Linked DNA regions of Mus musculus. The protein of the gene in region 1 purifies or fractionates together with the protein of each later gene. This does not show direct contact. Links are inferred from orthologs where the notes say so. Each region holds a gene or a part of one and is shown on either strand. Other genes may lie near its edges.

What was found. The genes of interacting proteins can lie anywhere in the genome.
Region 2: the proteins of Mepce (region 1) and Prpf31 purify together in Homo sapiens (affinity purification with mass spectrometry; 3 studies listed by BioGRID and IntAct, counting the BioPlex papers as one, with this or other methods). This does not show direct contact. The link is inferred for Mus musculus from reciprocal best matches to the Homo sapiens genes MEPCE and PRPF31.

The regions. Positions count from the first base shown.
Region 1 is NC_000071.6:137,783,902-137,787,857, reverse strand, and holds the start of Mepce (7SK snRNA methylphosphate capping enzyme), read left to right. Parts: upstream 1-1,156; 5' UTR 1,157-1,795; coding exon 1,796-3,397; intron 3,398-3,956. UniProt on the Homo sapiens protein: S-adenosyl-L-methionine-dependent methyltransferase that adds a methylphosphate cap at the 5'-end of 7SK snRNA (7SK RNA), leading to stabilize it.
Region 2 is NC_000073.6:3,632,985-3,636,484, forward strand, and holds part of Prpf31 (U4/U6 small nuclear ribonucleoprotein Prp31), read left to right. Parts: intron 1-53; exon of another isoform or gene 54-319; coding exon 320-417; exon of another isoform or gene 418-1,139; coding exon 1,140-1,246; exon of another isoform or gene 1,247-1,708; coding exon 1,709-1,878; exon of another isoform or gene 1,879-3,216; coding exon 3,217-3,374; exon of another isoform or gene 3,375-3,500. UniProt on the Homo sapiens protein: Involved in pre-mRNA splicing as component of the spliceosome. Required for the assembly of the U4/U5/U6 tri-snRNP complex, one of the building blocks of the spliceosome.

The sequences.
Region 1 (3,956 bases):
CCGCCACCAGGAGAAGGCGCGAGGACACGGACAAATTCCGCCCCCAAGCGGCGTGCGCTCAGGTGCTGCGCGTGCGCAGTTGGAAGTTGCTTCTGCGTCTGCGCAGCCGGAGTAGCCCGCCATCTTAAGAACGAAAGCCTAGTGAAACTACAAGTTCCATAATCCTCGCTGACATCTTTAGTTCCGCGCCCCCCCCCCCATAATATCCTGCGAAGCGCCCTAGGCACTTCATTCTTATCTCTGCCTCAAATCGCTTTCTCTTTCCTGTTTTCGTGCTATCACTCCCTACCTTTTAGTTGTCGTCACCCTCTTAAATTTTGAAACCATCTTGAGCTCCCCCCTTGCCTCTACAGTGCTCTTTCCTGACAAATAGTCTGTGGACTGGGAAACTCCGCCAGCCATCAGTCTGAGGATTCTGCATAGAATCAGTGCTTCCCATTGGCCGAAACAGGAGCCCAAACAGGTCGATACCCTTTCCCGCCCACATTCGCGGTGTGTCTAGCTGCAGGGATAATGCTGTAAAATCCGCAACGCTAGCGGGTGGCGCTGAGGGACCGATACGCAGGCGCTGCACTATGGCAGCGGCGTCCGAGGCCTGACGTAGGTGTAGGGAGGAGAGGAAGGCGTAGTTCTCTAGATGTTTGTCCCTGGTGGAAGGAGGAGGGCCGCTTGAACAACTGGGCCATTTCAGGGGAAGAGGAGTTTGGACAATCTCGATGTTTTAGTACTTGTTTGTTTTCAATTCAGAAAATATATTAAATAATATATTGCATTTTATTGATAACAGTTCTTGAGACAATGGTCTCGATTCCTTAGCCTACTTTATCATCCTCTCCTCAGGTTCTCCTAAGTCCTAATTCTAATGAGATAGGCTGGGGGCGGGGGGAAGGGGTGGGGAAAAGACCAGCGATCGCTCATGAATAATTCATGAGCCCGCCTCTTTCGCTGGGAATGCACGCCCCTTGGAAACGTGCTGACGCACGCTGCGTGTAATGAACCTAAGGAAACGACGTCACACTCCCCGCCCCTAGAGCGGAGGGGGCGGAACATCATCTCCAGCACGTGTTGCCCCTTCAACCCGCGCAAGTCCAAAAGGACTGTGCGCAGGCGCTCTCCAGGAGGGGCGGGGATGGGGGAGGAAGGAGGCGGGGCAGGGAGGTTGTTGGGTTTAGAGCCGGGCGGAGACGGCGGAGCCTCATTCCTCAGGAACAAGGGTCGGGTGTCAAGGAGACCTTTTCACACCAGCTCCCGTTCCCCGCCTACGGTGGGTGGGATCGCACGGCAGAGACAAAGGATATCAGTAGGGCTTGGACTTAGCAGCGAAGGGAAGTCGGGTGTCCGTGTGGGGCGGTGGGCGTCTCGGGCTGGGGGAGGGTGAGGTAATTAGGGAGGGGGGCTGTATTTAAACTCTCGGAGCCGTTAAGTTGGTTCGCACTCCCGATGCGCGCGCAGCCTGGGTGGTGGCGGAGCGCGCATGCGTGGGTCCTGGGCGAGCGGGACGCGCGCCCGTCGTGCGCGCTCGCGGCAGAGTGGTAGTGGCGGAGAAAAGGGAGTCGGCGCACGCGCAGTTGGTTCCTCGGCTTGTCCGGGTCTCGCGGGCATCTTGTTTTGGTCTCGCGGGCGAGTGGAGCGCGCTTGGTGTGTCGCGGGAGGGAGGTGGAGGCGCGAGGCAGAGCTGCGCGCGCACTCGGGGAAGGAGGGAGTGAGGTGGTCTTAGGAAGGGTTACAGGGGGCTTCCCCTTGCTCTCTTCTCAGTACCCTCGCTTGAGAAGGGGAAATTAAACAGGGAGAGGAGATGATCGAGATGGCGGCGGAGAAGGAGCCCTTTCTGGTGCCGGCCCCGCCGCCGCCGCTCAAAGATGAGTCGGGCGGAGGGGGCGGCCCCGAGGTGCAATCGCACCAAGAGGCTGCCTCCGGGGAGCTCCGTGATGGGACAGAACACGGGCCGGGCCCTCGCGCGCACTCGGCCGGGGCCGCAGCCAGCGGAGGGGGCGGCCCCCAGGCACAGGCGCACGGGGAGCCCCACGGGCGAGCCGCCGCTCCTGCGGACGTGGGGGAGGAGCGCCGGGGAGGGGGCGGGACGGACCTGGGTCCCCCAGCCCCTCCTCGACCTCGCAATGGCTACCAGCCCCACCGACCCCCTGGGGGTGGTGGGGGCAAAAGAAGAAATAGCTGTAACGTGGGGGGAGGGAGCGGTGGAAGCTTCAAACATCCGGCCTTCAAGAGGCGCCGGCGAGTGAATTCAGACTGCGACTCTGTGTTACCATCCAATTTCCTTCTGGGGGGTAACATATTTGATCCACTGAACCTGAATAGCCTCCTGGATGAGGAAGTGAGTCGCGCACTCAATGCGGAGACCCCAAAGTCATCCCCACTTCCGGCCAAGGGGCGAGACCCTGTGGAGATCCTCATCCCCAAAGATATTACTGACCCGCTCAGTCTCAACACTTGCACTGACGAGGCCCATGTAGTGCTTGCCTCACCACTCAAGATTGGTCGCAAGCGCCATAGACACCGGGGACCGCACCACCAGCAGCAGCAGCAGGCGTCTGGAGGGAATGATAGCAACGCCGCCGTGCTGCCCACTGACCCTCTCACGCCCTCACTCCATGGGGAGGGTGCTACGCAGCAGCAGCAAAACAGAGGCCAGAACCGTGATGCCCCTCAACCCTATGAACTCAACACAGCCATCAACTGCAGGGATGAAGTTGTGTCTCCCCTTCCATCTGCCCTGCAGGGTTCCTCAGGCTCCCTTTCTGCCCCTCCAGCTGCCTCAGTTACCTCTGCACCCTCTACTTCTTCCTCCTCCCGACATCGCAAACGTCGCAGGACTTCCAGCAAGTCAGAGGCAGGGGCTAGGGGTGGAAGCCAGGGTTCCAAGGAAAAGGGCAGAGGGAGTGGAGGAGGCCGTCACCACCACCACCCACTACCTGCAACTGGCTTCAAAAAGCAACAGCTAAAGTTCCAATATGGGAATTACTGCAAGTACTATGGCTATCGCAATCCTTCCTGTGAGGACGTGCGCCTTAGGGTGTTGAAGCCCGAGTGGTTTCAAGGCCGGGACGTCCTAGATCTGGGCTGCAACGTTGGCCATCTGACCCTAAGTATTGCCTGCAAGTGGGGCCCAGCCCGCATGGTGGGGCTGGACATTGATCCACGGCTTATCCACTCTGCTCGCCAAAATATCCGACACTACCTGTCGGAGGAGCTTCGTCTCCAAGCTCAGACTTCTGAGGGGGACCCAGGGACAGAGGGGGAGGAAGGGACTATCACTGTCCGAAAAAGGAGCTGCTTCCCAGCCTCACTGACAGCCAGCCGGGGTCCCATCGCTGCACCCCAAGTGCCCTTGGATGGAGCGGACACATCTGTCTTCCCCAACAATGTCGTCTTCGTCACGGTAAGAGTCCAAAGGCTCTTGGAATAGGGTTCAGATGTGAAGATGAGATTAAATAGGAATGTGTTGGGGGGATGGTCATGACCTAGAGGTGTATCCATGCGTCCATCTGTTCCTCCATACAAGAACCACCTCCTGGAGAGAACAGGATTGGCCAGAGAATCTCTACTGGGTGTTGTCTCTGCTCCTCTAACGTGGAAAGTGGGATCTCTACCTTGAGGCTCTAACACCTGGTCCTTTCTCATGACTACAGACAAGGATCTCATCCCCAACATAGCATGCCTTGCCCTGCTTCCACCTGGGACTGTAACCAGAGAGTCCACTTTCCCAAGGGTACTTCTGTTCAGTCCACATGGAACCTTGTCCTCAAGTCTCCTGAGGGAGCCTCAAGCTCGGTGTCTTTGGGAGAGGGGGAACACTCTGGTATTTGTCGTTTGGGGCCTTTGATAGGGACTCTGTTTGCCTCAGCTGCTTTCTGTTTCCCTAGATACAACACAAGACTGTTGAAATTGCTGGTCAGAAACCCATGGGTCTGTCTTCCCCATGCTGACTGAATAGTGAG
Region 2 (3,500 bases), on another chromosome or scaffold:
CCCTTGAGCAGCCAGGCTTTGCCACCTCGTACGTGCTCCAGGATGATGCCCACCTCTGCATCCCTACCAGCAAATGTGGAGGGAAGATAGGCCATAGTTGTTTCCTTAAGGCCACGATCTGGAAGTTGAAAATTGTCACTTTCAGTTCATATTTTGTAGACTTTTGTAGAACAAACTCCCACCTGCACATAGCATTGGAGACAGCTAGGAAATTAGAATGATTTGGGGTTGGTTACTAGAGAGGTGGAAGTAGGTATTGGGGATAGCAGCAGAGTCTGCCTCCCCCTCAGTAGACACCTGTCCTTGATGTCCCATTTAGACATTATCCACAAGTTCATCCGGGATAAATACTCAAAGAGATTCCCTGAGCTAGAATCCTTGGTGCCCAATGCTCTGGATTACATCCGCACAGTCAAGGTGAGTGGAGAGAAGTCTGGCTTGGGAAGAACTGGGGCCACTAGACCATGAAACCTCAAGTCTAGAAATAATGGAGAGTCATGAATGGGGCTCAGTGGTGAGGGACAGATACTGGAATGGATGTGTCATGCACATCTCTTGCTTCCTTCCTCCCCTTGGTTTCATGGGAGGATAACCACTGACCTGGCCCTTACCTCTGGCTGCAGTTGGAGCAGGTGTCCTTTGAGCTGGCAGAGGCCACCGCTGAATAAGAGCTAAGACCCTGCGTGGGAACAAGCAAGGATGAAGTCAGAAGGGGCAGGGAGGGAAGCTTGGAGAGGTCAGAAAGGGCAGAGAACATTAGATGTGGAAGGTGTTGGCTTCTCTACAAGGGATTGGAGCGAGTGGAAGTGAAAGAGCAGGGGTCCTGCCTCTGTCCAGGAGATCAGGATGGTGGCACAGGAATTGTGTCTGTGGAATAAAGTGCGCTTTTGACGGCCTCTTTAGTGCAGCATGTCTTCCTTGGAGGCTGCTTTGCCAGCTTGTACTTCTGCATCCGTAGAGCAGAGCAGGCACACTGATGCTTTAGGCAGGGAGGTTGTAAAAGTGTAAAAGGAAAGAGAGGCCTCCAGTGTATGGACCTTAGCTTTCCCAGCTTCCTCAAGGGGAGACCTCTGTTGGTGTTGTAGCAAAAGAGGGTCTTTTGGGCTTACTACAAATTCTCCCTCCCCTTCCTACCCCAGGAGCTGGGCAACAGCCTGGATAAGTGCAAGAACAATGAGAACCTCCAGCAGATCCTGACCAATGCTACTATCATGGTTGTTAGTGTCACTGCCTCTACTACCCAGGGGTATGTATGCCAAACGGTAATGTGCCGCAAGCCTACCATAGGACAATTAACAGGAGAGACAGAATGGAGGGCATGGTCAGAGTGGTGCTGACTGAGAATTATGGCCCCTAGACAGATGGAATTTTTATGATAGTCCCAGAACTAAACAAACACACATACATACACAGCTGAGACAGTAGATGGGGCTGACCACCAGTTAGAAATGTACCTAGTGGGGCTGGAGGGATGGCTCAGTGGGTAGGAGCACCGACTGCTCTTCTAAAGGTCCTGAGTTCAAATCCCAGCAACCACATGGTGGCTCACAACCATCTGTAAGGAGATCTGATGCCCTCTTCTGGAGTGTCTGAAGACAGCTACAGTGTATTTACATATAATAAATAAATACATCTTTTAAAAAAAAGAAAGAAATGTACCTAGCAAAGCTGGAGTCTGCCCACAACCCTCACGTGCTCCACAATGTAGGCAGCAGCTGTCGGATGAGGAGCTAGAGCGGCTAGAGGAGGCCTGTGACATGGCACTGGAGCTGAATGCCTCCAAACACCGCATCTATGAGTATGTGGAGTCCCGGATGTCCTTCATTGCACCCAACTTGTCCATCATCATTGGAGCATCCACAGCTGCCAAGATCATGGGTGAGGTCCCAGCGGGGTCCCTTTGGCAGAGTCTGCTGATAGGTTAGGTTGCCTTGGAAAGTGGGGTTTGGCCTATTGTGTTGTCCCCTGAAGTCAGAGGTCAGCCAGTTTGGCACATCCACACAATAGAAGCACAGCAACCCCCTTCTAGGTTGAGCTGGCTGGCTTAATTAGACCGCACAGATGGCCTCTTCCTGACAATAGGCCCATTTTAGACTCTGGAGCAACCACCGAGTACCGAAGTCAGCTCAGGCTTTCCTACTACTTGGGGCAGCAAATCCTCCCATATGCTATGCTCTTCTCCTGGAAGCTCCTGTAGCAGAGTCCCTTCCCTCATTGCAGAGAGGTGCTTGAAAAGGGAATATGGGGAAAATCACCATCTTTGCTTACTTAGCTTCAGTCTTGAGGCCCTCTGGCCAGGCTGTTTCAGAGCTGGCAAAGGCTGAGACCAAGGTGCTGTGAGACCTCTCCAGAGGCCTCTGCCTGGCTCAGACGTGTCTTCTGTGTCTTCATGGAGTTACACCACTTGTATCTGTGTCCTTATCTCCTTTCCTTACAAGCATTCCAGTCGGATAGAGTCAGGATCCATATGACCTTATTTTACCTCAGCCATCTTCTTAAAGATTCTGTGTCCTGTGCTAGAAAGATGGCTCAGCTAGTAAAAGAACTTGCTGCCCAGGGTTGGCAGCCTGAGTGTGGTGATTCCCCCAAACCCACATCCAAGTGGGAAGAGCTAAGTCCCAAAAGTGTCTTCTGGTCTCCATTCACACACCCTACTTATACACATAAAATAATAAAAATAAAATACCCCCCAAAAGATCCATATCCTCCTAGATGCAGTAGCTCATACTAGTAACGCCAGTATCTAGAAGGCTGAGGCAGGAGGATTACTTTGAGTTTGAGACCAGCCTTGGCTACAGAGTGAAATACTTGTTATCAAACCAGCCAACAAATGAAGGAGCAAAGACGTCGTAGTCACTGTTCTATTGCTGTGAAGAGACAACTGGGGCTTACTTTTAGAGGCTTAAGCCATTATCATCATGGGAGGAAACACAGCGGCAGGCAGGTATAGTGCTGGAGATGTAGATGATCCACAAGCAGACACACACACACACACACACATGTGGGACCTGGCATGGGCTTTTGAAACCTCAGAATTCACCCCCAGTGATACATGTCTTCCAACAAGGCCACGCCTCCTGATCAGTCTAGTCTATCCATGAGTTTCACCTCATGGTGACTTTATGCGCCTATGGGAGTCACTCTTACTCAAAGCACAAAGGTATACATGAGCTCCTGGATGGAAGTCCTGGGCTCTGACCTCACCTCTTGTTGCAGGTGTGGCTGGAGGGCTCACCAACCTCTCTAAGATGCCTGCCTGCAACATCATGCTGCTGGGAGCCCAGCGCAAGACCCTGTCTGGCTTCTCTTCTACCTCAGTGTTGCCTCATACTGGTTATATCTACCACAGTGACATTGTGCAGTCTCTGCCCCCAGTGAGTCCTTCACCTTGTCCCCTTCCCCCAGCCACCAGGCCTTATCTGGCTTGGCTGGCAATATTCCTCAGGCTCCTGGAGGATACCATTCTGGGGCCACCACTTGGCAATAATAGTTGGGTGGCT